Linked DNA regions of Mytilus edulis. The protein of the gene in region 1 binds, or shares a complex with, the protein of each later gene. Links are inferred from orthologs where the notes say so. Each region holds a gene or a part of one and is shown in the gene's direction. Other genes may lie near its edges.

Region 1 (7,398 bases):
AGTTTTAGATAGACATTGGAAACGATACATTAGAATGGTTGGATTTAAGACATGTCCCCTACGGACACCTATAAAAAAAATGTTGCAAGAGTTCGTTACCTTGAGAAGGGTGTGGCATCAAGGGTTTCACCAGGCTTATAGTAAGCACTTCGGTGTTGATATGAAAATCAATTATATGGTATTTTTTTTAAAATAAATTAACTGTTTGCAAAAGCATGAATTATTCGAAACAATAAGGATTTTCTTATCCAAGGCATATACTACCTCAGCCGTATTTGGCACAACTTCATGGAATTTTGTGTCCTTCATGCTCTTCAACTTTATACTTGTTTGGCTTTCTAACTAGTTTGATCTAAGCGTCACTGATGAGTCTTATGTAGACGAAACGCGCGTCTTGCGTATCAAATTATAAGCCTGGTACCTTTGATAACTATAAATCTTACACGAGGCATCGGATTTAACGTCCCCGTTCCGACCGGACGTGGAAACGTACACTTTATATCCTGCACACACACAAAAAAAACCAAAAAAAAAAACCCACCAACAACCGAACAAGAGAAATCCAGGACTAATAATATCTTTATTTCTCAGTCTGTCCTTCAAAAACAAGTAGAAAATGAGATTAGTAATTAGTAATAAACGTCTTTCATTACAATATCAAAATGCTGTAATGTTTTTTTATGTACACAACAATAACCGAGAAACCAATATATACAGCAATAAATGACAACCACTGCAGTGCCTCGCACCTTAACTAACTTGGAAATTGTTATAACAAACTTTATAAATCAGTTGAAAAGGTCTCACAACTCATCAGAACGATATAAAGCAAAAGTACAACTATCAAAGACACAACGTACGGCATATATTACCTCAGCCGTATTTGGCAAACCTTTTAGGAATTTTTTGTCCTCAATGCTCTTCAACTTTGTACTTTATTTGGCCCTATAAACATTTTTTGATTAGAGCGTCACTGATGGGTCTTTTGGAGACGAAACGCGTATATGGCGTATTAAATTATAATCCTAGACTTTGGTGTCTATCTACTCTAGAAAGTGGTATAAAATAATAACAAACTATACAAATCAGTGGAAAAGGTCTTATAACTCATCAGATCGATATAAAGCAAAAGAACAAATACCAAAGGCACCAAAGACACCACGTACAAGCTTAATGCACTGGCAGTTATTAAAATCTAGTTCAATGTCAACAGTAACTAACAAAAAAGTATATGGTTATCAGTAGGTAAATGAAAATCTTGTAAAAACACAAAAATAATTTGTTTTCCTGTTTCTGTTGATCAAGTCAGTTATGTTTTTCTCAAAGTACATCCTTTATATACCTCTAGAGTGACGTAATTTTAAAAAGTAATCAAAGGTATCGTTTCAATTTTTTTAAACCATAGACCTGTTCTCTTTTGGTAGCTAAATCATTTAAACAGTAATTAATATGACCTATGAGTAGACAATGAAACAAATCCAATTTCGTGATCAGAGTTCGGTCATCAGATTTGCTTACGGGACGACATCAAAAGTTCAATGTAGGATAAAAAAAAACAACTTAATTCACATAGTTTTTTTCACTGACCCCTCCCACCCCCTCCTCTTAACTTAATTTGGGAAAAATTGATTTACCTATATGGATATATATATATATGTAAAATCGATTTTGGATTAACAAAACTTGCAGCCATGTTGACCCTCACCCCCACCCCACCCCAAAACTATTTGATTTAAGTTTTTTTTTATCCTACATCGATCTTTTGATGACGTCCCTAATGAATATCTTTATTTCTGAACACTTTAAATTCGGAAAACTCTCATAGAACAATAAAAAAGTATACGATATGTACAATTGATATCATCAATCTAAAAGAGGCGATTGATAAACTATCAAGAAATTTTCATATTGTTTGTTCCGATTAATTATGATACTTGGTTTCAATATAATATTTTTTTTCTAATATACTTAAATGAACCTGAAGATCACGCTTCGCAAATTATTTTCTACAATGTCATAAATTTGCAACATTTGTTTATCACAACAATAATGAACTCTAAGCCACATAAGTGATTAAACTGAACAACTGTTGTGTTCACTTATCGCCAAACTATCTTCATCTGTTTTGGCTGTTTTATGTGCGCACTGTATTGATCTAAGTCGGCTTTGGCTGTGCTTTGTGCAAAAAGATATAAAAGAAGAATGATGTGGTATATAAGCCAATGAGACAACTCTTCATCCAAGTCATAATTTGTATAAAAATAAACCATTATTGGTCAAAGTACAGCCTTCAAAACTGAGCCTTTGCTCACAACTAACTGCAAGCTGTAAAGGGCCCCAAAATGACTAATGTAAAACCATTTAAACAGAAAACCAAGTCTAATCTATATTAAAATGGAAAACGAGAAACACTCATGACCCACATCAACAAACGAAAACTACTGAACAATCTTCTTTCTTTTTTTTAAGGCCATCAACATGATCAATCCTCAATCATTTATAAAACCAAAATATAGAAATAATATTTAGCTATTACCATGATTACTAGGACTTACTATTATACCATCATGACCATGTATACATACTAGTCCAAGGCTATCATTAGCAGTTAATTTGCCTGTTTTATAAATGTTACAGTAGTTTACATTGCAATACTGATAAGATTGTTTTGCTGACAGGTTTCTGACAAACATACATATTAACAATACAAAATAAAAATCCTGAGGCTATTCAGAGCATGCACGGTATACACAAATTTGAATTATATTCGGTCGCTTCTGGTGAAACTTCGGATAAGGTAGAGACAAAAGGGGTGACGTCTATCGTGCAATTCTCTGAACATTGGAATCTGCAGTCCTGATTTGATTAGCGTGCATATCCTTAATATTTGTAATGGCTTTTTATTGGCGGGTCCGAGAATAAAATGTATAAATTCAGCGTGTATTACTGTTTTTTTGTTCGATTGTTTGGTTCTACACCGTTTTCATGATCAGTTGAAAGTTGAGCTGCTATATAATATGACTACTGTTGCTGCAGTGGGACTTTTTATTTGTATCTTGCATTACTAATTATTTTAGTTTTAATATAACAAGCCGTTTTAAAACTGACTTACACTTAACTCTATGACCATTTTATTTTTGTTTATTGTTTTTTCTATCTAGACCTATAATTTTAACCGCAAGATCTGAGTTGGAAGGAATTAATCATACTTTTTTATCTGAGAAAAATAACCTAGTAAATAGGTATTAGTCCTACCCATTATATATAGGCACTGGCTACGATTAGCTTGAAAAAGTAACTGGCAAATAAGATATAATTATTGCTACTTCAGAGACTATAACATGTTTAACGTGACGGTACCCAAATTGCACCTATTTTGACAGTTTTTTCAACTACGTTTTTTTATGATTAAGACAAAAGTTTCCATTGTGTGTTTATTTTGTAGCCGTATCCTTCTTTACTATATAGGTACACCAATTTGATTTTCAATTCATATGGAATCATAGAAAAATTGGGCTGAACTAACCTCAAAACCATCAATGATTCTGTAATGAGGAGTACCCAAATTGCATCCATGCTTAAATTCGCATCGTCAAAAGTCGAATAACAGAGTTTTTGTTTATTTTTTTCAAATATTTTGAACAATTGGATATTTGTCCATGCTTACTCTTCTTTTTTTAAGAAATGAATACTTGAAACATATTGTATTTGCTTATTTTAAAAAGATGACGTTTTGATGACTTGATGACGTCGCACGGCGACGTTTCAGTACATTTTGCTTTTTCAACATGTTCAGTAAAACACTTCATCTGTTGATAAATACTGTGAACGTTTTGTGTAAGTCTAAATATATTCAGTGGCGGATCCAGGGGGGGGGGGGGGGGGGGTTCCGGGGGTGCGCACCCCCTTTATTTTTGCCGATCAATGCATTTGTATCGGGACATATGTTTTGCACCCCCCCCCCCCCCCCTTTGCCCTGGGTGCCCTGGGTTAGCACCCCCCTTTCGAAAATTCCTGCATCCGCCCCTGATATTTACCTATTTTGAAAGACATTTATAGTATCAAATCATAAAAATACAAACTGTTTTATCTCGAGGAGATCTTGTAAGATTTCTGCTGCTATTTTTGCTAAATAGGTGCAATTTGGGTACTCGTTGCAATTTGGGTACCGTTACGGTTAACTGCCGAAATATACAATCATCTCATGCGTTTGTAAAATGGAAAAGAAATGGAATGAAATCGGTTTCCAGTCTGGAAATGCGTTTCTGTGATAAGTCTTGGTAGTTACAATATTTTTTTTCTCATTGTTACTTTTTTGCGGGTAACAGTAGCCATGGAGTGCCTAAAATATAATTTCGGATAATTATCATGTCCACAGCCAAGACGGTCCTGAGTTTATGCAATAACTGTCATGGCTGCGCCCATGTCGACGGACACTGGAACTGATAAAATCCCAGTTTTAACTCCAAATGACGTTCAAAATTTTAGTTTTATAGTCGATAATGTTATTGGTGAAAAGAAGAAGCCTAGAAACTTCTTTATGCCGTTTGGTACTGCTCCTCAGATGCCAAAATCAAAAGAAGAAGTATTCATTACTGCATTTTTTGAAAGTTGTTCATTCAGAGCCTCCGCGAGTTGTGTTGCAGGTATAATTTGATATACTGAAGTTTTTGATTTATCATAATATAAGCTGGTCGTTCCTGTGTGATGGAGACAAAGTTTGAAGAAATAAACTACAGAAAAATGTGCTAACAGCATAAACATGACAGTACAAGGTCACCTAGTCCGAGATTACTCTGACGTCCAACGGCTGTTTTGCCAGACAAGCTGGGGCCGTGGGACAACAGAGCTCGTCCCATATCAAAAAGTGGATATTTGCCCACCCAAAATAGATGCGCTGCTTCGTCGCTTCTGGTGCCGACTGACGGCCTTGGAATTATAAAAATCGGGCATCAATCTGTTCATTTTTCATTTATCTTTTCATTTATGTAAGTTTCACCTACCTGCCAACTTTTATTTTTTCATATTTTAACAGTTTTCACAGAGACCCATCGATTTCTGCATTTTGACTTTCACTTTCAAATGAACGTCAAGTTACGAGAGAGTTCGTGGCCTTGAGACTCAAATATGCAAATTTTGTAGGAGATTGATGTTTAACATTTAGTAGCCAACCACGATTTTTCGCCTCCTTGACAGGAGATCGGTATTAAGCATTTAGTTCCGACCACGAGAACAATCGGAAGCTCTCGGACATTTAGATAACTTGCATCGTAAATACACCTTATCGCTATTTGTCCGCCATTACTGGATATTACACAGGTTCCCGTAAAATTTTGACGTCATAAAACAAAATATCGGACGCCACAATGGAAAAGTGATTGTTGTATGCGTCAAAAGTTCAAGCGGCCGGGTCAGCCGGCCGATAAGGCTAATAGCGATAAGGTGTATGAACAAGGTGTTACATTATGGTCATTTGCATAAATCATCACTGTTTTCTCGTGGTCACGTGATAATCTTTGAAAATGAAAGGCAAAATGCAGAAATCGATGGGTCTCTGTGAAAACTGTTAAAATATGGAAAAATAAAGGTTGGCAGGTAGGTGAAACTTACATAAATGAAAAGATAAATGAAAAATGAACAGATTGATGCCCGATTTATATAATTCCAAGGCCGTCAGTCGGCACCAGAAGCGACGAAGCAGCGCATCTATTTTGGGTGGGCAAATATCCACTTTTTGATATGGGACGAGCTCTGACGTCCCACGGCCCCAGCTTGTCTGGCAAAACAGTCGTTGGACGTCAGAGTAATTTCGGACTAAAGGTCACCAAACCTTTTTTCTTCATTTTTACAAATTTTCATATGACATTAAAAATATAAAACAAATTAGTAGGTCCATCTGATAATTCAAAAAATATAAGGACTTATAAGCTACAGTCATGACAGAATCAGTGAATCTGGGGCCGTTAGCCCCAAGTCATGTTTGCTCCCATTCAGGGTTTCCGCTGGCGGTCGCCATTTTCGCAATTTGCGATAAAATAATAATTGTGGCGATAAAATTTCGTCATTTGCGAAAGAATTTGGCGAAAGAAATATATAAACCGATTTATTTTCCTCCATCTTGTTTATTTACTTTTTTTCGAGTTTCTCGGACTTTACCCGATCAGACAATACTCGGAATTCACCTTGACCTCATTAAGATTTAGACAGAAAATCAATAATCAGCTGATTGCATTTTATAGCTATCGACAACAAAGGACTAATTAATAAAGGTGTTGATTGAATTGTTTCACAAAATGATATGGTCAAATGGCTTCCGCTATAAATGTCACATACAGAATTTATTTACATCTTTGCGACGCACGTGTTTGAAGCAAACTTTTGACATCTCTCCTTTTAAAGATAGTTTTGAAAAGAAAGCTGTTCAGTTCGACAGTTGTTGTGACGAAAATTGTTCAAAAGCAAGAAAAATTTCCGATTTAAAACTTAAATTCTTTTATCCTTTGACTTTAGTAAAGTCGTTTGAGTGACACATGCACGTTTCAAGCATAGTTGTACGTCTCAACTTTTTCATTTACGATGGTCAAGAAAAGAAAACTGTCGTTATGAAAAAATCTATTAAAAAATCTGGGAACAACCCCTCGAATGAGAGTAACCCTTCAATGTGATGACTACACATGAAATGAGGGATCAATTTCATGTGATAAAAGCTTTTGTTTTGTTGTAAAAATTACTTCTTAGTACAAAAGGGCACAACAGGAAAAATATATTTATGTTACTTGGCGAAAAAAATAATAAAGTGGCGAAAAATATATTGTTTTGGCGAAAGAGGTGGCGAAAAAAATGATTGACCCAGGGGAAACCCTGCTCCCATTCCAACATTGATGATTACAAAATGTAGACTCACCTGACCAGTGCTTGATAACAACCAGTGCTCTATAACACGCTACAGAAATGATTTTTTAATGAAAATAAAACACTTGAGAATTAAAATAATTTTGTTTTTATACATGTACAGATGTACCTTAAAAGGAGCTTTACAGGAAATATACATTTTGATTGATCTTAACTTAACTGGAAATTAATAGCAGACGATGAATGACAGTGGTGAATCGAGGTTGAAAAGATGCTCTTGGAATCCGGTTTAAAAAAAAACTTTAATTAAATATTTAGTAGAACTTTTGAAATAACATGGATCAATTATAAATTCATTTACAATTCAAATGATGTGATTCCTACAGTAATATTCAATCCAGGGCATCTGTAACTTTATGTTTTGTCCCCCCTAGAGCCCCTTCATATTTTCACTTGACTTGCTGCCATTTTTATGTAAACAATATATTTTGGGTAAACTTGCTTGTCCCTTCATGCATATTCCGGTTTGGGTGTTTCATATGTCAC
Region 2 (7,792 bases), on another chromosome or scaffold:
TAAACAAATTCAAAAGTGGACACGCAAGGACACAATACTATCTATGGTGCTTAGATACATTTTGAATGGATGGCCGTCAAAATGTCCAAATGAAGAAATAAGACCGTATCATAGTAGGAAAAATGAACTCAGTAGTCAGGACGGATGCATATTGTGGGGAGGAAGAGTAATTATACCACAACCAGGACGTGAAGCCATGTTAAATGAATTACACCAAGGACATCCAGGGATTACTAGAATGAAAAGTCTAGCAAGAAGCTACATATGGTGGCCGGGAATGGACAATGACTTGGAATTAACTGTAGTTAATTGTTATAGTTGTCAGGAAAACCGCAAGTTACCAGCAGAAGCACCGTTACATCCGTGGGAATATCCGAGCCATCCGTGGTCAAGAATACACATAGACTTTGCAGGACCATTCATGAACAAATCATTTCTAATTATGGTTGATGCGTATTCAAAATGGATAGACATACACGTAATGAATTCTACAACATCCGAAGCTACGATTGCAAAACTTGAACAAACGTTTGCAACACATGGATTATGTGATCTCATTATTAGTGATAATGGAGCCGCATTTACTAGCAAGGAATTCGCCGATTATGTGAAATCAAATGGAATTGAACATCGTACTTCCGCGCCGTGGCATCCAGCTAGTAATGGTTGTGCTGAACGAGCAGTTCAGAGTTTCAAAGAAGGTATGAAGAAAATCAAAGAAGGAACTGTCCAGGAAAAGTTGAACCGTTTTCTTTTTAACTACCGTATAACGCCACAAACAACGACAGGATTGGCACCATCAGAATTGCTTATGAAAAGGAAACTCAAGTCGCGTCTAGATTAAGTTTTTCCAAATATTGAGAAGCGAGTTCAGGAAAGACAACAAAAACAGAAACATTATCACGATAAGAAATCTGTGAACAGACAAATTAATGTAGGACAGGGAGTATTTGCCCGAAATTTCGCAATTGGTTCAAAGATTAAATGGATTCCAGGAGAAGTTATAAAACAATCAGGACCACTTTCATTTCATATTAAATTGCAAGATGGACGTGTCATTCGTAGACATATTGACCACATCAGAGTACGAAACTTCGATTGCACAAACAACGAAAATGAAGGAAAATGTGACAATGACAGTGATTTGTTTGAGCCAGAAATAACTATACCGATAAGTACTCCTGAGACCGAACAACCGCAAATCGATAAATCGTCAAACTTGACTGAACAAATGGAACCACGCTATCCGAAGAGAATAAGAAAAGAACCATCGCATTTAAAGGATTTTGTGTTGAAATAAATGGTTGATTTATAAAGAGGCATAATAATCCTCACAACCGTTTGAAGTGCATTAAGTACTTCGCAGTGTATGTGTGTACATATCAATTAGTGTAAGAAATAACAACAAGACCAGTGCGAACATTTTAATTTTTATTTTCATAGTAGGACATTATAGTTTCAGTGCAGACAAACTTTAACGAATGAATCTTTGTGATCTGACATTTTTATTTGTTTTCAAACTGATATGGACTTATCAATCAGTAGCCGTGAAAAGACATTAATTTTCTGTAATTGAGTTAATTTGTTTTTAATTTGTTTTTATCTAAGGCCGGAGAAGTGTTATAAAGTTCACCTCACTTTATTACCGTATCATCTGTTACAGTAATTATAATTGACAGATCAGCAACTCTCACATGTCTGCCCGTTCTTAAATAAACATGCAATTAAATAGATCAATTGAAGTTCTTATACACATGTTGTCATTCTGTAGTCTGACCATCAAACGATGTACTTGTTAATAAATTAGTTATAGAAACTGGATTGTATTATTACATAGCAAATATATTACAGTCCTCAATGCTCTTCAACTTCGTCCTCTATTTGGCCTTTTAAACATTTTTTAATTCGAGTGTCACTGATGAGACTTTTGTAGACGAAACCCGCGTATGGCGTAAATATTATATGTTATTCAGACCTGAATTACACATATATTACGGATTACGCCTGACTTAATGTTATTGTCCAGTGCAGGTATTTGTTGACAAAACATATATATTGAAAAACCCAACCTGATATGTTCGGCATACGTGAAGGATTTTCTAATTTTCTGTGAACATAATTTTATCGTGTATGTAATAATTTATAATAACACTTTTAACATCAAATTAAAGTATTAGAAGTGTTAATTGCGTGATTTTGTATCAAAAATGTATTATTGACTGAAGCACGTCATTATTTTCCCTCTGTGAACCTCTGACAGTCTGATAGCTTATGACTACGTCACATAGTAACCGGTTTTATGATGACGTTTTTGAGGTTCCAATTGGGGAAAAAAACGTCGTATATACCCCGGCAGTTTTCTGAATATATACTGACATCTCTGTATTGTTATCCAATCAGAAACCTCGACACATTTGTAATCCGTAATATAAATTTTTAATTCTGGTATCTATGATGAGTTTATTAGTTTAAGTACAGCTTGTTTGAAAATTATAATGAAAAAATATAGGTCACCAATGAGTTAAAAAAAGATATTTCAATTTTAATTGCAAAAAAGGCATTTTTGCACCAAAGGAAGATCATTTGGAGCTTTTTCAAAAATGAAAGCTACACTTTATAAGTCATCTGGGGCCCACACGAATTTTTTTTGGTATTTTTGATTTTTGTACAACATGATAAAGTAACAACTATACTAAAGGTAATAAATAAAATTTGTAATGAAAAATAAATGTTTATTTTTTTTGTAAATAAAGACTATTTTCATGACACAATTTGCTTATCAAATTTGCCGCTAGCATTTAAAAATGTTCTCATCTGAAACAATATATTGTTCCTAATACTTCTTTACTTTAAATGAATGTTTCTTAGGAATCTAGTTTATGAATTGTATCAACATGTTTTATCCACCAAGAAACATGGCCGCAATGGTCGAAAATAGACTATAGGGTTCATATACATGGTGTTTATATGGCGCTCGGTTTCTTCTTCAATGTATAAGCCTTTTGTTAGTATGAGTACCTCCATATTCCATATAGAGTATATTCCTAATATATTCAAAATTTTAAATCAATTATATGCAGGTCATATATAAATTTAACCAGGTGCTCTGCAGGTCGCAGCTTTATACGACCGCAGAAGTTGAACCCTGAACAGTTGGGGCAAGTATGGCCACAACATTTAAGATTGATACAGCTCTGACAGGGCCGTAACTAGACCCTTTTAAAAGTGAGGCGAAAAATCTTCGGCGAGGGGTCTGGGGCCGATTGAAAGGCCCGCCGAAGCTCTGAAAAAAAATGACGCAAAATCGTGCATTCTGAGCGTTTTCCGGACTCTTCTCTGACGCAATTAGTTTTTAGCTATTTTTTCGACAATACTCTGGTCTCAAAGCAAACTATATAGATTCAATGGAATTCAAGACTTTTAGGTTTATGGGGCAACATCAAAAGTTAGACCGATATGTAGGATAAAGCAACAATCGTAATTCTTAAAATCATTGAATACCGGATCTGTCTATTCTTGTCTTGTATTGTGTTTTGACTTTGTTGATTTTGTTTTATGACTGAATTTAGATATAGTGACAATGCAGTATTAATATATCATACTATACGTACCGCTTTAGTCGACACTATACATGCAGGGACGATCTTGACCTCAAGTTAAAAACAAACTAAATGTACTAGATTTACAAATGAAAATCAACACTTATTACTATAATCATAAAGTAGGACAATAAATGGACAAAAGACAAACCCGGGTACAGAAAAGACACATAACTAAAAACAATAGACCATAAGCTTTGAAAATAAAAGTAAATTAGAAACATGGGTCAGTCAAGAAAAACATGCAGGGGCGACATCAGAGAGTGAAGAGAAAGTGCTACTTGCAAGACATTCGCTGTGAAAAAAGAGTAGACAAGCTTTTGTTTCCACTTTTTTATTTTAAATTTCCGACATGAGGCATTTGCCTCATTTCCAATACGGACTGGCAATGATGTGAATACTAGGGCCAATATTTCCAATACGGATTGGCAATGAATCCTGAATTACATGCACAATTAATGTTTACATGTAATTCAGTATTCATTGCCAGTCCCAAGGATTTGTAAAGTTACTTAGACTTACTATACAAATCCTTGTCAGTCCGTAACGGAAATAATTGACCGGGCCGAAAAGCAATATCATGAATATAGATCACGTGAATTATATGACCAGTACTGAGAGTACACTATGTGTTATAGTAGTCTCAGACAGAATACAAAAAAAAAACGAAATTTATTAAAAAAAATTTACATTCTTAAAATATAATTGCAAATACATTTTTGTATCATTATTGGAGAATAACTTTATGCTTGTAAGCTTAGTTATTTGTATAACAATTGAAAAGAAACCTGTTAATTGTATCATAATCATACTATTGATGCGTGAAACATTTATATACAACTTTATTGCAAAAACAGAGTTCTTAACAGCAATTTGATTTTATAGCACTTCACTTTGGTTTTTAAAGGTATTGACGTGGGCAGGGACAAAGATATACAACGGGATTGCATCTTTTTTATAAGTGGTTTATCTATTTGTCATGAGTGGAGCCGTATTTCAGCGGGATTTTAACCCTTTTCATAAGGGGAGCATATTATTATAACTATTTGCAATGGGAGTTTACCCTTTTCATAAGTGGGGCGAGTTGGTAAACAAGAGTGGGGCGGTTTTTTAGAAAGTGGGGCGAGTTTGTGAAAAAATGGGGCGATTAGATGTGGGGAGATTTGCCAGTGGGGCGATTTGTCATGGATTACTCGCAGTTATTGGTGCTCCGTAAACGGAGCGATCTACGTTCATAAATACCTCATGACATTACCATTGGTTTCCCTCCCTCACTTATATTCTCTGTTATAACTCATGTAGGTTAAAAATCAGACAAAAATTGTCACTGAGACACATTGTAAATCATACCTTTTGTTTTACGAACAGTTACATATTCAATTTAGTTAAAAGTATTTTGTTGTTTAGACCAGGAATATACTGTTTCCAGGCTGTTCAATAAACATTGTTATATAAAAGATCATAAAATATGATATTTTATTGATAGGTACTGGCATGGAAATGTAACAATTATAATAAAAATATTATTGTTACATTGGAGAATAATTGCCGCAGTACAGGGTTGGGTAAGGATCCGATTAATTACGAATGTAACAATAAAAATTGAGGCTAAGGTTACTTTGCGATATTGTTACATTTGTACATTGATGCACTTAAGGTTCATGTGGACCCTATGGCTAAAATGGCCGTATTTTCACCTCAAAATTTTCTCTGAGTACAGGCAAACCTGTGCATCTGGAAAAGTTTTAAGGCATGGCATGCCCTAGATAAATAGAATTCAAATGCATTGTATGATTTAGAAAATTCATAACTTAACTGGATTTTGCCATACACTTTTTTTCGTCTCTGCAGAAGACGATAAAATTAACAAACAGTTGAGTTTACCTTGATATGGTTCACTCAGGTACACAGTTTAAATAACCAATTATTGTCGGGTATCTATTGTCCATCTAATGTCCATGTCAATTAAAAATGCTCACTTTAATTTTTACCTGTGGGGAAGTTCTCAAACCTGTTTCCCAACTTAGTTTATTTTGGCACCTTCTGGAGAAATGAAAAAAAGTGCACGGCAAAATCCTGGTAAGTTTTTACTTTTCTAAAACATAAAACATATTTAAAATTCATTTATCTAGGGCATGCTATGCCTGAATTTTTTTACAGATGCGCAGGTTTGTCTGTACTCCGAGTAAATTTTGAGGTGAAAATACGGCCATTTTAGCCATAGGGTCCACATGAACCTTAATGTATGCTAGATTTATTAAACTTCAACCTTCTAAACTTGTATACCTTATTTTTTCATCAATCTGTAATCTGTAATGTCTGTACAATCAAGGATTTGTATAGTAAGAATCCAATTAGAATGAAATTACTATCACAAATTATCTGGACTCTGAAAATGAAAACACTGATTCAACCACTTTCAATGTCATGTCAGCAAATGTTAAAAATCAATTGCCTTCGCAATTGACTAGTACTTAGCTGGATATGGAAATTGAGGGTGGTAAAGGTTGTTTTTTTGGTGGAACGTGATCACCGTTTTTTATTTCACGTTCAACATGTTTTTACTTGTTTATTTGACGTTCAGTTGTGCAAGACGGGTGCCTCGTTCAACGTTTTCTGCTTATTTAATTTTACATGCATCATGATTTTCAAAGTCTTATTTTGCGTGCTCGATATTTTTCAAATAAAATTCTAAGACTTGGCAGGGATCGTCAAGAAATACTTTTTTAAAAGCCATAAACCAATTATATCATAAATGTGTATTATAATTCGGGAATATCAAGTAAAACAAAGAGTTAATATATACAAGAAGACAGTGACTCAGTCACACAAGGTTCAAATAAAAGTATTTATTTTTCATGCAACGTTCATTACAGAAATTATTTCACGTTCAACGTGAAATTATGTCTTATTTCACGTTTTTTTCGTGCAAGCACCCCCTTTACCACCCTCAATAATGAACGGTAATGAAATCATTTTACAACCTCACATGCATACCTGTCAACTAACCCGTATTCTGCGGGTGTTACCCGAGATTTTCACAATTCTGAGGGATCACCCGGGACACCCGTCGGGTCATTGAATAACCCGGGAATTCCGAAAATGACTAGTTTTCACCCGTATTTCTTAGCCTTGAGATTGATTTCATAAGTAATATTCCTTTGAAATACCGGCAAATTCGTAATTGTTCCATGAACAGAAAGTTCATCTAGCTGTGTAAACTGTCAAATGAAGTGACCCATTAAGTGCATGGCTTCACTTAACAGCTTTGGTGTCAAACACACTGTTAATTAACACCAATTACCTTAGCTTAAGGTCGTAAATAAATTGCACTGTTGTTTTTACAAACATATTTCTACTAGAGTTACTTCCCCTTATTTGTCACCATTCAAAATTATTCCTTATATTTCCGTTTTTTTTTGGGAAAAGATTAAATCTTAGAAAAAATAAAATTCAAATACATATTGAAATATAACTTTTCATTATTTTTATACCTTTATACATGTTATACAATTTTGAAAAAAAAGTTGAAAATTATTTTGTACATCTATACTTCCTTTAACTGTATTACTATATTTTACTATCGTATAATTTCAATGAACAAGATGGATTGTAATGAATGATTAGGATGATGTGTTTGAAGGCTGAATAGCTGGTCTGAAACACTTTAAAATTACTCTTAAACTATATCCTGATGTTTGAGGGTAAAATAAAGAACACAAGACTGTGTTAAACAAATTTATAAAAAATCTTTAAAAGTGCAATGAAATAATAATTAATAAGATTTAAAATTACTTAACCAAGTAACTTTGATTTAAATTACAAGAAAAAAGTACCATAAATACTGAAATTCAGCTTGAAAAAGTTTGTACGCATTATGACCTGAGATTTGATTCTTCAATGCAGGTCATGACCTGCATTTTCATTGTCACAGGTTGACAGGTATGCACATGTTAAAGTTTAAATATCGCACCAAGGATATTTATATACAAATCCTTGATCGCAAGAGTAAAAAAATATATTTATCAGCTGAAGCATGACAGACATTGAAAGTGTCTTTAACTGCAAAACAGGATAGTAACATGGAATTTAGAGTATGAAATACTGACGTTCATATTGCTGCATCACTCGTTTGCGATGACTGCTAGGTTTCACCAAGATTCGTTGGACTAAGACATGCTCCCAAAAACAAC
Region 3 (7,411 bases), about 59 Mb from region 1:
AAATGACATCATAGTCATGTCTGGCAAATTTCCAACATATATTATCAACTACTATTCTATACAAAGAAAGATAACTCTAATTGAAAATTAATTGCTATTGCACAATATTGTGCAATTAGATATTTCTTGCTATTGTGCAATACTGTGCAATTGAAAATTTCTTGCTATTGCACAATACTTGATATGGAATCCTGATTTGGACCAACTTGAAAACTGGGCCCATAATCAAAAATCAAAGTACATATTTAGATAAAGCATATTAATAAGCCCAAGAATTTAATTTTTGTTAAAATCAAACTTAGTTTAATTTTGGACCCTTTGGACCTTAATGTAGACCAATTTGAAAACTGGACCAAAAATTAAGAATCTACATACACAGTTAGATTTGGCATATCAAAAACCCCAATTATTCAATTTTTAATGAAAACAAACAAAGTTTAATTTTGGACCCCAATTTGGACTAACTTGAAAACTAGGCCAATAATTAAAAATCTAAGTACATTTTTAAATTCAGCATATCAAAGAACCCCAAGGATTTAATTTTTGTTAAAATCAAACTAAGTTTAATTTTGGACCCTTTGGACCTTAATGTAGACCAATTTGAAAACGGGACCAAAAATTAAGAATCTACATACATAGTTAGATTCGGCATATCAAAGAACCCCAATTATTCAATTTTTGATGAAATCACACAAAGTTCAATTTTAGACCCTTTGGGCCCCTTATTCCTAAACTGTTAGGACCAAAACTCCCCAAATCAAACCCAACCTTCCTTTTATGGTCATAAACCTTGTGTTTAAATTTCATAGATTTCTATTTACTTATACTAAAGTTATGGTGCAAAAACCAAGAATAATGCTTATTTGGGCCCTTTTTTGGCCCTTAATTCCTAAACTGTTGGAACCAAAACTCCCAAAATCAATCCCAACCTTCCTTTTGTGATCATAAACCTTGTGTCAAAATTTCATAGATTTCTATTAACTTAAACTAAAGTTATAGTGCGAAAACCAAGAAAATGCTTATTTGGGCCCTTTTTGGCCCCTAATTCCTAAAATGTTGGGACCAAAACTCCCAAAATCAATACCAACCTTCCTTTTGTGGTCATAAACCTTGTGTTAAAATTTCATAGATTTCCATTCACTTTTACTCAAGTTAGAGTGCGAAAACTAAAAGTATTCGGACGCAGGACGACGACGACGACGACGACGCTGACGCCAACGTGATAGCAATATACGACGAAAAATTTTTCAAATTTTGCGGTCGTATAAAAAACAATACTTGCAATATGGTGACCTATAGTTGTTAATTTCTGTGCCATTTGGTCTCTTGCAGAGAGTTGTCTCATTGGCAATCAGACCCTATGATGGCTTATCTTCTTTTTATTGATTGCATTTGAATAAACTTTTTTCAACTTAAAAAACAAAACAGAATACAAATCCAATGAGTGTACAGGCCTATCAGATGGTGCCTCATGTTTAGAGTCTGGTGAGACTAGCATTGATGAAAACTAAAACCCAATTCCTGTGATATAACTAGTTTCGCAGTTGTACTTGACTCATATTTTTGAAAAATAAAAAGAAATACATCTAAGTCTGTTATAAATGTATTGTCTAAATTCGTTTTGCTCCTTTTAATAATCAACTAAAAATGTAAAAAGGTTATTTTTAATAATAAAAATTAGGACAAGTAACAATTTCATTCGGACAAGTGAATTTTGGTATGTACTTGTCCTACAGGACAAGTTGAAAAAAAAGTTATTGTAGAGGCCTGTATCATGTTATTTTATCTATTCTTAATTGCATATATAAACACTATTCTATTTCCTTTTTATCTTAATTGCCAAGCTATACATGTATATCTCGTGGATGTCATGTACAAAAATTGTATGTGGTACATGTACATGCTTATTAATCATCTGGACTGATTAATCATGCACAACAAGATTATGTTGTGCAATCAGCTGTCAATGTTAAAATTTCTTAAGGTGGTGCTCACACTATTAAATACATTTTTTGTACTAGCGGTGATGCCATAGCAAGTATTATGTCTGATCGATTGCCATTGACATGAGGTATAATGTATTCTGTATAAAATTTAGATTTATAAATCTATTGATTATTGCAGAATGGAGAACTGCATATTTACAAGGTGAATACAAACTTAGGTGGCAGAGGGAAATTCAAGTGTGCTGCAACGCCAGTCTTCATGATATGACACTACAGCTCAGGTGGATTTTGCTTTGTCCACTCCTCCACAGTTGGAGTGGGTACCGGGTGGGCAAAATTTCTAGCTTGTCCACTCTGCCCACCCATAGGAGTGAGCATGCAATTTCTTTTGTTTAATCAAAAGACTGGCAAGTACAGTCAATTGAAAAAAGCAGATAAGCACTTGTAATCACTATTTTTACAAAAAAAGAGATTATAGCTAGGGTGGGACTGTGGAAAAAGCAAAATCTACCCTGGCTGTTGTGTGATATGCCTTGAACCTTACTGGTTTGTCTATGAAAGCTTAAGTTTATAGCGTTTATCATGTTTATACAAAAATTTCTGAAGAATGGGATGTGGTCCTTAAAGTTAACTGTAAAAACTGCAACACCACTTATGGATCATGGTGAACCCTGTAAAAATGTAAGCCATGTCAGTCAACAATAAATAATTTTCCAATAATGCCAATTCATCTTTTTTCCTGGCTACAATGTAATTTGATGTCAGAGATCAAATATCTTTGTTACAATTTTGTCCTCATACATATTTTATCCCAAATATCCAAGGTCAACTGGTGTAGTTTATACAATTACATTGTTGGTCTCATTGACAAAAAAATGATTGAAGAGTTCATGTAAGCTATTGCGAGGTTGGCTTCTATTTTTTTTACACATGACACCTTAAAAAATCATTTTGCATGTAAAAGGGACATGGAGTCAGTCAGGACCTGTGAAATTATATTATATATGACAAAACAATAAGCAGGTTACAGGATCATAAACCCTCTCCCCACAAACTAGCCCTCCTGGCTCCGTAATTTGGTATCCGGTCATTCAAGCCCCAAACCTATCCGGCCCCAATTCAATCCGGCCCAAAGTCGATCCGTCCCAAGTCGATCCGGCCCCATAATAAAATAATGAATAATCTATATGGGCAAAATCAATTTGCGCATATTACAGTTTTGAAAGGGTATCTTTCTATTTTTTCTGATGGTATAAATTGCGGCACATTTACCGGTATCTTTTTTCTTTTTTTTTTTTCCTATATCACGTGCACACTTTCATGACTTTAGATTAAGCTGAACATCAAAATAAAGAAAACCCATCAACACATAAATTGATAAATTATAGAGTAGTTTTTCAGATGGAGATCTTGGGGAAAACTTTTTAAAAAAAAACAAAAGCTTAAACACACCAAACAAATAGATAACAACTGTCATATTCCTGACTTGGTACAGGCATTTTCTTGAAAACTTTTAAATAATAATAAATACCCACTTTACCAGAAATCCTAAAATTAGGTGTCGACTAAGTTAAGACTGATTTAGTAATAATTTACAAAATTTGAAATGTTGTTTATGTAACTATTTGTTATTACACAGGATGAAAGACTTGCAATTGAAAAAAACGGTAATCAATGCTGATGAACGTTGATTGTATTAAACTCTGTTATATATGTTTTTATTACTCAATAATGTTGAAAACTTGTAATGAAACTGTACATAATCAACATAGTTGTTTTAAACTCATCTAATGAAAATATTCCTCAAAGGCCAACTTTTTTTTACTGTACACCTTTTATAATCTTATTAATTTCATAAACATTTATCAGTGATTTACAATTCATATAATGCATGATGATATATCTTCATTATAATTTCTTATAAAAATATTTTTTTATTGGGGCCGGATCGACTTGGGACAGATAGACATGAAAGCAGTAATTTATAGTATTTCTTTTAAGGAAAACGTAATATTTACAAAATGAAATTATAAAATAAATATCCAGCAATAAATTACCAATTTTTGCAAAACTTTGTCTCCACATCTTGTGAATCTTCAGCCATGTTGATGTTTATGAAACTGAAAGTTGCTTGGTCACGTTACAAGAATGTTTTTATCATTACAAATTTGTCATTCAGAAATAATCAACCAATGATTCAAAATGAATCGCTAATTATCATTTAGTTTAACTAATTTAGACAACAGAGCAATATTCTGTTTTCGATGACAATAAAGAAACTACAAGGTGTTTCCCCTGATACAAAGACACTTGGGATAGAAACTGTAGCCTGGCTTGTCAACAAAATATTTTGACAGCTCTAATCTGCAATAGAACAACAACTGTGATTGGCTAATTATTTTAAGACGACGGTTTTGATTTGTTGGTGTAAGAGGCAAGTCCTCGCCATTTATTGTACTTCCGGTTTATCCGGCTACCTGCACGTGGAAACCCACTAACTATATTACAACATTTTTTTTAATTTGAAATATTCACATTTAAAATGGCAACGCCTTCTTTAAATGAAGCCCAGTTAAAGCTGGTTTCGGATTTAGAATTAGAAATGATGGCAGATATGTATAACAGGTGAATTGATAGACAGAAAGTGTATTTCTGAGATGTAACCAAAATTTGACCTTTGCCATGTTTATATTGTCAGTGTCAAAGACAAGTATCAGAGCACTGTACATAATACCAAGTTTTTGGTGGTGTTGGTGTTGCTCAGTCTTTAGTTGGTTTTTGTATTTTACTATGGACTTACAGAGTTAAATTTCTAACATGTCATGTGTCTAATAAACTACCCGCTCTATTTTACAAGGCATGTTGTTCTTGTGTTCTAGTCATAGATTGCAAAGGTGGCGTTTAGTTGACTGTACATTCGTGATCAGCTGTCAATGTTACAAAAAAATATGCTAGACAATCTCAATATGCAAGTGCAAAAGGAAAACTAAACGTAAACATCGCTCCGTCATAGTCATCAAGATAAACTATATCTTGTAGTACCTGTTATACACTTGCTTACCTGAATATCCATGCTTCTTTGTTGATTGATTACAAACGGGTGACAATTGTTAAACTTCAGCTTCACATCACGACTAATAATAAGCTGCCATATTTTCACAACAACACTGACAAATAGAATATTTTTTGACGATTAGACGAAACTTATGCTAACAAAATGATAAAATCGATCACAGAAGACTTAAGTTTATGATATATGTATGCATTGGTTCAAGAGTTGGATTAACATTATTTTCCACCGGTCACTATTTTCATATTACTTTAAAGTAATAAACATGATAAAGAAATTGATGGTCATCAGAAGTGATGAAACCAGCATTAATTTAAAAATAAATCATTTGATATAATTCAAAAACACTCTTAATTGAGGGGGCAATAGGGGGTCCGTTTACATGTTGACAACACCTCGATTTTGGCAAAAACATTTAGCAAAAAAGCTGATACAAACAAATAACAGCTTAAATTGATCTCAGATAACAGTTAAAAACACCTTGAAAAGGGCCATAACTGGTTAACACAAAAAGGTATCCCCCTCTTAATTTGTTCACTTTGCGTAACCCCACTATTATCTATAATAAATTAATAAATGTACAATATATATTTTCTGTGTTTTAGAATGACCACTGCCTGTCAGAAAAAATGTGTACCACCCAAGTATAACGAAGCAGATTTATCTAAAGGTGAATCAGTGTGTTTAGACAGATGTGTATCCAAGTACTTAGAAATGCACGATAATATAGGAAAGAAATTGACATCTATGTCCCAACAAGACGAGGCTACTGTGAAGAAAATCCAGGATCAAATGCAGCCCCAAAAATCTTAACATAAACTGTTTTAATAGTTGTGATATTACAATTAAAGTATTTATACAATGAAGAAATGAACAAGATACTAACAGGAGAAAGTGTAATCAGTACAAGGAAAAGCAGGCCATTGATAAAAAGATGAATTGACTCACTGTCATCAGCTGTTCTGTCATAGATTGCAAAGGTGGCGTTTAGTTGACTGTACATTCATGATCAGTTGTCAATATTTAAAAAATACACTAGACAATTAATATTAAATTTATTATGTTACTATTAATTCTTAAATTTTATAACTACATTCAGGAAGTTTTTCTAGTAAAAATTTCATTTTACTGGTTGAAATTTTATTTGGTTTTCTTAGAACATGAAAACCTAAGCCAACTGTGGTAAATAAGCATGATAAGTGCTAGATGAGATACATGTATTGTCACACTCTTGCCTTATTGAATGTTTCAGTCTAAACATTCTAAAATGACCATGACTAATCCAGTATGCTAACGATGATTTAGATTTTCATAGCCTCAAAAAAAATAATTTTTAGCATGTCTAAGGCCTAAAATAAAATTTCATTTGTTTGGCATTGCCGCCCAACCCACTGAAAAACTTGCCGCCCAAATAATTTTATTTGCGTTTCAGAAATTTATTTTTTTTTATTTAAAAACAATCGAAATTTTGCCGGAAATTGGTCGTATCTGCCGAGTTTGTTCCTGGCTTTACTTATTTCAAATCATGATCTGAAAAGCGTTTGCCTTACACTGTATTGGTAGCAAACATTTAAATGACATGGAATAGAAAAAGTCTGCCAAAAGTTAAATGTCAAAGAGGCTGACAGGGGAAGGCATCTCCCTATGCTGCAATGCATTGGTTAAGGGAGATGGATTTTATCAAAAATCAAATTTCAGCTATTCTTTGAAAGAAACGTTCTGAGAGACCTTGTAGAGGACTCAATTTTATCTTTTGTAAAGCAGAAACAGATGATTTCTGCTCGACTTTGTCGCTTCATGAGATAGAAGTTTTTCACCAGGACATCACAGAACAAATATGCGTGGCTCTTACATTTGTTGAACTTATTAAATATTTGAAATTTATCATTGACAAATTTTCCCTTGAACCAGAGAACAAAGTATCTACTATAGTCAGAACCACAATGATGCATTCAAGATAATTATGACTGTAAGCACCAAAGCTTACAGACCAAAATAATTTACAGGTTTATAGTAGTTTTGTACCAGAAGATGCTAGCCTGGAACAAAACATACATATTTTAAAGACTAGCATCTTGTGTCAATTGAAGTACTTCCCATTTTCTTGCCTTTCTTCATGAATAAGATGATTCTTAAAACATAAAAGATACTGACAGAAACATATTTATAAATGTATCCAGTGTACTAGTGATGAATAAAATCCCCTCCTTTTCCACAATTCTAAGGGCTCATTAATTTATCTGTATTCATGTAATGCATGTCCAGATTTCTGTTAATCAAACAAGCATTACAACTCATAATTTATTTATCTGCAAAAATTATCTGTCCTGCTGCATATTTCCATTTTGAATTTATCATACGTTTTAAACCTATCCCTGAAAAACCTTGCACTTGG
Region 4 (7,941 bases), on another chromosome or scaffold:
ATTTCCGCCAATTAACAGATAAACATAATATGAGTACTTGTATACTGAAGCACATGTTTCCAGATAAAAATCTGTTATAAGTATTTCCTTTATCTAAGTTGAAATATATTAGTTACTATAATTATTATTTTTGACCTGTCCAATTGACTACTGTTTATAAATAACTTCAGCCCACATCCGTCCACATATTTACAGCTCGCCTTATTGGACCTAACCGTGGACCGTGTACCAAGGCCCAGAAAAGCAATGAATGGTATGGGCTCCAACGAAACCCACTTATTATTTGATCAAATCGATAACGAGGTCCATATACCGGAATAACAAGAAGAGCAAGGCGACTTATATTGTACTGCAAACTCCTGTCTTGATACCAGCACAAACGGGTATAGGCAGGGTATGCGTGAATGTTTGTCTTCGGTGATTCAGGGGAACAAATATGTATCACTTCATAGAAAAGAAAAGCCGTATGAAAGGTAATTGAAAGGAACTTAATAGTTGTTTGGTCTTGTATTTTCTTGTAAGTTAGATGACCTAATATTATGAATTTATTTACTACATGTATATCCTTTATTTTCGTTTAAATGACTCTAACGAAACACAGGAAAAACTGTTAGTATATATCATTAGTTATTGACCTTGTTTCCTTATTGGAATTAATGTGACTAAGTTCAAAATAGTTATGTTAACGCCAATGTACGTTCGGATACAAAAATGGAGATGTATATGATGACAAAATATATAAGAAAGATTCCGAGAACAAAGCATCGATTGTGGAATAGTTGCCAACACAAGATGCCCTATCATATTGTAGTAGATATAGTTGTCTTTGCTTTACTATTGGAACCATTACAATCAACAACATAAATAATAAAAATCACAATGCCATTATGCTACAGTGATTTCCGGACCTTTTCAATGATATGTTTGGTGGTTTTGGAGGAGTTTCGAATACAATGTCCCTACCCACTTTTGTCGTGCTTAATGACTGGGTCAGTTAATAAATGGACCGAGTTTGCATTTTAATTCAGTGCTGAAAGGTCAGTTGTATATATTTTATGCATTTTCATATGACTTAATATGAGCATTGCAAATTATTTTCAAGGTTATTTGTTGTGGCAATTTCAAATATTGGGAATATTAGGAATATGGTACCATTACCAAGTTACTTAATTGCCGCGAATAAGCTTAAATTTAGACTTGAAATTTAGATATAAAAAAATGTGGTAAGATTTCCAATGAGACAACTCTCCACAAGAGACCAAATGACACATAAATTAACAGGTATGGGTCACCATACGGTCTTCAACAATGAGCAAAGCTCATATCATTTAGAATATACATTTAGCAACTGATATATATATAGTATTGTCTAGAACTCATACCTCAATACATCCATTCAACCGGTATCTTGCATACACTACCCAAAATGAAATTAACTACCATACAAAAATTGTGAAGCTAGACATACTGTTCAGAATAATACCTAGGAATCATTCATGATATTTGAATATCCAAACTGTGAGTATATTCATAAAGATGATTTTACAATAACTCTTTATATACAAACTCGGAATATCAGAGAACTCTCCCTTTTCTCAATGTGGTAGTTTTTGTAGACTCAAATTAAGATATGCCAATATTCCAAGTTCATAGACTGACAACCATTCATCAGACTTTCTGTCGAATTCCACTATTTCGTAATGAAATTGACAAAAGATATCCAGTAAAACTCGAGTTTTCTGTAAACGAATGTCATCCTCTCTATAATATAGAAACGTGTCGGTGTCCTAAAATGACCAGTCTCAGGACAGCGTCCATAAAAGGACAGGATAATTGAACAATTACATTGAATGACTTTACTGATAAAATTGTTAAGTGTCATTTAAGATCAAAAGATCGACTCAACATTTATGTAAGCTAAGTACTGGTGGATTTGTCACTTCACACAATAGTGACAAGTATACTTACTTAATGTACCAACCAATTATCAAAACATTTCCATTGATAATATTGTTAGATACTAAAAGTGAAACTAGTTCAATTCATCATGTAGCGCACATCTTAAATGAAATGTTGATCAAGATTCATAGTTTTACAGTTTTCCTGCGTATACTTCGAGACACTGACAATATCAATCTGTAATTTTTAAATGTTGAATCAAATCATAAATGTATACAGAAAGTTCTTATCTACAATACTGTTTACTTCTCTATGTATTTACATCAGAAATAAAGAAAAAGAGCGTTCTGAGGGCATGTAAAGTCACATGTAACAGTTGTCACTGGACGTTATAAAGCATGATATGACTTCAACATTCGAACAATCACTAAACTCAGCAGAAAGTCAAAAACACGAGGAGACAACAAAAAAATATTTTAGCCTTTAAAATTGAAGTATGAGAGTCTTCTTATTTAAAAAAAAAAACTTTTTTAATTGTCACCAGGAGAAGAAAAGCTGAAGTTTTTCTCAGTTCCTATTGGTTTTAGATTGTTATGTTTGCTTATTGTTTCTATCTTAAAATACAATTTCTGGTCGGAAATATAATAACGTTAGTAGTACTTATTTAAATTGCACAAGAGCGCATTTTGACGATCAATGTCTCAATGTCAGAGATTAACTGCAACATTGGCGCATGGGATTAAAAAATCAGCAATCTAGATCATGTTCTCTTGAATATTAGATTGATTTTAATGCAACAGATCATGAATATTGGACGGACAAGTTTCTGGAGCCGCATTTTCTAACAGCAAAAAGTGCAGCAAATTAAATTTTAATCTAAAAATGGGTGAACACTAAATGCTTTCTAAAATTATCATCAATGTAAGTAAATAAAGACAGCTAATCACTTCCTATACAAGATTAAAACTGGCCATACGACCCAAATTTGATATGATCTGAAATCATCTTAGGATAAACTATAAAGGTCAAATTACATATAAAGCAGATAGTAAATTTATATCAGCTGATAAACAAATTCATATATCTACATTAGATATATTTATAAACGTGTGTAGAATTTTAATGATGATTTCAGCGTTCATGGTGCGACTAAGCTCATGGCACAAAAGCTGTTAAATATGAACCATATGACAAATAATTAAAACGTTCTGCTTATAATTAAAACCGGTCAGCCACCCAGTCTCTCCGATAAATGACCGGGACATTAGCCTTTTTCGTTTGGTATATAAGAATGGTGCTGACGCCAACCAGATCTACACTTACCTATTATAAGACTTATCAGTGTTAGTCCTATCAGAGACATATAATTGTCTCTGGTCCTATGGTATCATGTGAAACCATAATTGCTGGCCGCATCATGCATGCTCGGTCTATCTATTCACGGATATTTCCATGAAAGCTACCTCGACTCTTCATCTCAACGGAATATTATACCGTTCTGATAAGTTTTAATTCATATGATCATTTATATTGAAGTTTTCTTCTTTAGTCAGTCCAAACAATATTTATTTGCCAAAAAAACAACAACAATGAAATATATTTTATAGTTTTTTTCATACTGTGTTGTTACATCACTGTACAAGGTTATAAAAGTTAGGATTGAGTCCTCTAATACGTTTTTACTCCACTACATTTTTATGTGCCTTTCCCAAGTCAGGAGTCCGTAAATAAATTCAGAGCTTGTCGTCATTGTTTTGTTATAAGTCAAGCTGGTTTACATACATATGTTCCTTTTAAGTATGTGCAGTACGAATCCTGTTTTAATATTTGCTTGCATATGTTCTGTGGTCTATTTTACGGCTTATTGAATTGTTTTATGCAAGTCTTGTATCACTTAATATTCTTGCATGATAACGGATGTACATTTCGTTTGCTTCAATTTTCAAATTTATCCTTTTTAATCTAATAGAGCATACTAATTCTTGCATCTTTTCGTCTTTGTGTTAAAGATCTCCATATCATATATCGGGCTGCTCGTATTTATACCACCAAAGGTCCTCGGTGTTTCTCAAATCTCATTTCTTATATAGATTAGACAGTTGGTTTTCCTATTTGAATGTTTTTTTACATTAGTCATTTTTGTGGTCATTTATAGATCTTTATAGCTTGCTGATCGGTGTGAGCCAATGCTTTATGTTCAGAGAAGGTCGTACTTAGACCCGGGGCTACAATGGTTTACTTTAAAAAAAATTATGACTTGGATCGAGAGTTGTCTCGTTGGCACACAACTTCTTACTTCTAATTACCTTTCGTTTTAGATCCCGATTGTATTATTGACTTTAGTACATATGTTATATTGGTGAACATAGTCATTTCATTTGAGTTCGGTGTTCTCGATAGCTTCTTTAGTTTATGCTTATATATATGTGTACTCTGTCTCTATTTTTTCAGTTCTTCGTATCATGATTATGTATGACAATATTTCTATAGACCATTCCCGAACAGCTTTTAGAAGATTTGAACCTGAGACTATACCATCATCATACGGATTCAAGATGTTTATTAGCCGTAATCAAGGACTCTCAATGGGTATACACTAAAAAGTTAACAATTTCACATTGTTTGTAGGCTTCTTTTTTTATATTTATTTTATTTTATAGTATAACAAAACTATAAAAGATATAGTTAGTTAGTGCGCATATAACTGTACAAAACGGGAAATATAAATATGACACTGGTATATTCTGATACAACTATACAGTCCATTCTTTTAATGTGTTTGAGCTTTTAATTTTGAATTTTTCTTGGAGCTCAGTATTTTTATGATTATTTTTTTATATTAAATCGAAACAATTCCATAAATGATACTACATTAATATTAACACTTATTTTTCAAGATTATATTGGTACTTTTAGTTATTTTACGGAATCCTCAGATGAATCCGACAACGGTTAAAAACATGGATTTATACATTCATAACATCCTTGTCTGCAGTGCGTTTGGCCAAATATAGTCATGATCAATATTGTTAAAGATATAAATTGACTTCGTTGTAAACATGTGCAATTTTTGTTTGTAGGTTGTCAATAATCTTTTCTAACATCACCACAGTCATAAATGCATTTAATTCGTAGACAATAGGTCAATGGCCTTCATAGTTAAAACGGTAAAAACCGTTCGAAACAATTGGAAGAAATCGTTAGCTGCTGGTGTTGCTGTGTATTTTGTTGGAAGATTTGCAGCTCGAAAATATAAGTGAGTTTCCAATTGAAGGTCGTGATACTCTCTTGGCTCTGCATCTTATCGGCCAATAAAAACTGATCACCACAAAATTACACAATAATGTTGAAAGTGGCCTTTAAAACAGTAAATGGATCAACTTCATCAAAAGTCATCCACAATATTTCATTTCTGGAATCATGCCTTTCACCAAAAAAAAGATCATCAATTTTGCAGACCTTTATAACGCTATTTATTAAATATAAGGCACACTTATACTACATAAACACGAAAATATTAAGATTTACCAGAAAAAGAAAAAAAAAGGGACTTTGGAAAAAAGGGAGAGGGCTTTAAGTACCTATGACTTTTTATACCTTTTTCTGAAATTCTCCACACCATGATAAAATCTTTTACAGAAATTCATTCTACAACAGTTTTACATACTTTCAACCAAGCTCTAGATGCCAGTGATTTCGTGTGTTTGTTCTAGTTGAATCTAAACAAGGAGATAAAAAGACAATATTTTTTTCATTAGATAGTCAATGAATAAAAGTACTACTGTTTATATAAAAGTATAATCTGACTTCAGAAAAATAAAAAAAAAGTGGAATACAAAAAATCTCTATTTAAGTAATACATGTATTTCTTTATTTTTTCAGTGAAGATTTATTGAGAAGAGAGTTTTGTAAAGAAGCAAAGGTAGGAACTTTATTTGTGGAGGAAACCGGAGTTCCCAGAGAAATCCACTGACCTTGGATAGGAAACTGACAATCCTAGTCAATTAAGATTGGAGTTAAGTCACACTTGATTGCACCTGAACGAGCTAGGTTTGAACTCGCAACCTCAGTGTTGACTGGCTAGTGATTATTGTAGGAACTACTTAGACAGCCACTGAGGCTTTTCATTAATTTTTTATAATTTTTTATAAGTTAACACAGATATATTTTATTTGAGATCTAATTAATAATTGTAACACATCCATTTGTTTATTTACAGAAATATGGAAAAGTAAAAATAGGTGTGACAGATAAACCAAGAAGAATTATAGTGTTTTTGAACCCAGCTTCTGCATCAGGGTATTTATATTATGATTTTTAATGGGTAACAGTTTATTTTTCATTGATTCTGTACCGTTACTTTTCTTGATATTAAATCTTGACTGAACTTGGATTTCTGAAATGTAGACATCAATTTCTTTTCATTTTTAAATCACTTATGTCAAAGTTCAGATAATAAAAAACCATGTGTGCATAAATTGGTCACAGCTTTAAACATTAAGTGACAAGTACAAGTGGATGGTGCCCTTTAAATGACAATAAGCCATAACTTGGTTATAGGTCTTAATGCCAATTTGCAAAGCACCAGCTTGAATAGAAATAACAGTAACTAAAAAAATCTTAATAAATTACCTTTTAAGGGGGCTCACAGGTCTTAATCAAATTTTTTAATTAATATAGGATTTCGCTTTATTTTTCTATAAATGAACTTTATCTTATACCTAATAGAAAAATGAAATAAAAAAATGGGGTCACCGTTCATTTACTCTCACAATCTGCCTTCGAAAGAAGCATAGATTTTTGTAAAGGTACTTTTTTCTGTTGAACTAATAAGAGAAATAGAGGTAATATCGAAATAAAAAAAAATTGTTGTTACAGAAATTGCTCAAATTTTACAATAGTTAAGTTTAAGTACAGCTTATTTGAAAATTATATAAAAAAAAAAAATAGGTCACCCATGAGTTAAAAAAGATATTTCAATTTTAATGCCAAAAATTGGAATTTTTGCACCAAAGTGAGATAATTTGGAGCTTTTCCAATGATATCAACATTTTAAAAGTCATCTGGGGCCAACACAACTTGATTTTTTTGAATGATTTATGTACCATATGATAAAGTTACAACCACTAAAGGTAAGAAATAAGATTTGTAGTAAAAAATAAATGTTTAATTTTTTTCTGAAATTTTTATACCCTCCTTTATACCAGTTTTCATGAGATAAAAGAAATTTTGGTCCATATCGCTCTCTAAACTACAGCTGAACAAACATAGTGGAATTCAGGACAAAACCACAACCAAAGAGCAAAAATCAGCCTATAGAGGCCTCCAATGGGTCTTCAAAGTAGTGAGAACATCCTACATCACAGGCCAACATTAGTTTAAATATATAAATTTTGAGTTTCCATTCAGCTAAGTTATATCAACACACAGAGATCACGTCTTTTGTTATTGTCAACATTATATACCTTGTCCATGTTAATTAGAAACTCCCTGCAAAACATTTTCCCACATCTCATTACACTAGAACTGATTCTTTTATAGGACAAGGGGTTGTGCACCTGCAATTTAAATTTATTTAGAGCAGCTTTACAGAATTCCAACAAACTTGCACAGAATTTTTATTGGAAATAAAGTTTTAAGCTTGCTATTTTATCTTTTGCTTTTAGCAATTTTTTGGGATTCGATTTAAAAAAAAATTGGGGATTCCATTCCTGTACCAAATCACAGACTACACAGTTTCTTTCTATTTTACCTTACTTTTAGATGGTAGATGATACACATCTTTGGAACATGTTCACTTTTTTGTAATAATATTATTTTATTTATAGAGGAGCCGTGAAATCTTTCAATAAGAATGCTGCACCAATATTACATTTAGCAGGAATAGAAGTTAATGTAGTAAAGGTATGTTATTAAATTGTATTGTTTTCACAGAGTATGATTATATGGTTGATTGATTTTAAAAGGGTCACCATTAAACCCTTATCTGGTTTAAAACACATGTAAAAACTCTGGTATATAACAGTTAAATTCGTCCAAATG

What was found.
Region 2: the proteins of mitochondrial import inner membrane translocase subunit Tim22-like (region 1) and mitochondrial import inner membrane translocase subunit Tim9-like are in contact, whole or in part, in a cryo-EM structure (PDB 7CGP), measured with the Homo sapiens proteins. The link is inferred for Mytilus edulis from reciprocal best matches to the Homo sapiens genes TIMM22 and TIMM9. Residues at the interface, in NP_037469.2 of Homo sapiens: Asp35, Arg37, Gln38, Pro39, Arg40, Leu42, Gly45, Ser46, Leu47, Gly49, Ile50, Ser52, Pro53, Lys60; in NP_001291414.1 of Homo sapiens: Gln13, Glu16, Phe17, Thr20, Leu57, Thr60, Gln61, Met65, Phe67, His71, Gln74, Asn75, Leu78, Lys81.
Region 3: the proteins of mitochondrial import inner membrane translocase subunit Tim22-like (region 1) and mitochondrial import inner membrane translocase subunit Tim10-like are in contact, whole or in part, in a cryo-EM structure (PDB 7CGP), measured with the Homo sapiens proteins. The link is inferred for Mytilus edulis from reciprocal best matches to the Homo sapiens genes TIMM22 and TIMM10. Residues at the interface, in NP_037469.2 of Homo sapiens: Tyr25, Ser26, Leu28, Leu29, Gln30, Tyr31, Leu32, Val33, Arg40, Leu42, Leu47, Gly48, Glu67, Glu144, Ser145, Tyr146, Gly148, Ser150; in NP_036588.1 of Homo sapiens: Pro3, Ala6, Gln7, Leu9, Ala10, Ala11, Leu13, Glu14, Val15, Met17, Met18, Ala19, Tyr22, Ser44, Lys45, Gly46, Glu47, Arg53, His62, Glu63, Gly66, Leu69, Thr70, Ser73, Met74.
Region 4: mitochondrial import inner membrane translocase subunit Tim22-like (region 1) and acylglycerol kinase, mitochondrial-like share a complex: the UniProt entries of both Homo sapiens proteins name them as parts of the TIM22 complex. The link is inferred for Mytilus edulis from reciprocal best matches to the Homo sapiens genes TIMM22 and AGK.

What each region holds. Positions count from the first base shown.
Region 1 is NC_092349.1:81,526,915-81,534,312, reverse strand, and holds the start of mitochondrial import inner membrane translocase subunit Tim22-like, read left to right. Parts: upstream 1-4,381; 5' UTR 4,382-4,411; coding exon 4,412-4,646; intron 4,647-7,398. UniProt on the Homo sapiens protein: Essential core component of the TIM22 complex, a complex that mediates the import and insertion of multi-pass transmembrane proteins into the mitochondrial inner membrane. In the TIM22 complex, it constitutes the voltage-activated and signal-gated channel.
Region 2 is NC_092346.1:22,147,318-22,155,109, reverse strand, and holds the start of mitochondrial import inner membrane translocase subunit Tim9-like, read left to right. Parts: upstream 1-4,788; 5' UTR 4,789-4,897; intron 4,898-4,913; exon of another isoform or gene 4,914-4,938; intron 4,939-7,792. UniProt on the Homo sapiens protein: Mitochondrial intermembrane chaperone that participates in the import and insertion of multi-pass transmembrane proteins into the mitochondrial inner membrane.
Region 3 is NC_092349.1:22,053,499-22,060,909, forward strand, and holds the start of mitochondrial import inner membrane translocase subunit Tim10-like, read left to right. Parts: upstream 1-4,395; 5' UTR 4,396-4,488; coding exon 4,489-4,571; intron 4,572-5,621; coding exon 5,622-5,829; 3' UTR 5,830-6,356; intron 6,357-7,411. Other genes in the region: TRAF-type zinc finger domain-containing protein 1-like, read right to left, coding at 4,004-4,050.
Region 4 is NC_092344.1:79,052,180-79,060,120, reverse strand, and holds the start of acylglycerol kinase, mitochondrial-like, read left to right. Parts: upstream 1-4,935; 5' UTR 4,936-5,045; coding exon 5,046-5,155; intron 5,156-5,781; coding exon 5,782-5,821; intron 5,822-6,118; coding exon 6,119-6,198; intron 6,199-7,727; coding exon 7,728-7,803; intron 7,804-7,941. UniProt on the Homo sapiens protein: Lipid kinase that can phosphorylate both monoacylglycerol and diacylglycerol to form lysophosphatidic acid (LPA) and phosphatidic acid (PA), respectively. Does not phosphorylate sphingosine. Phosphorylates ceramide.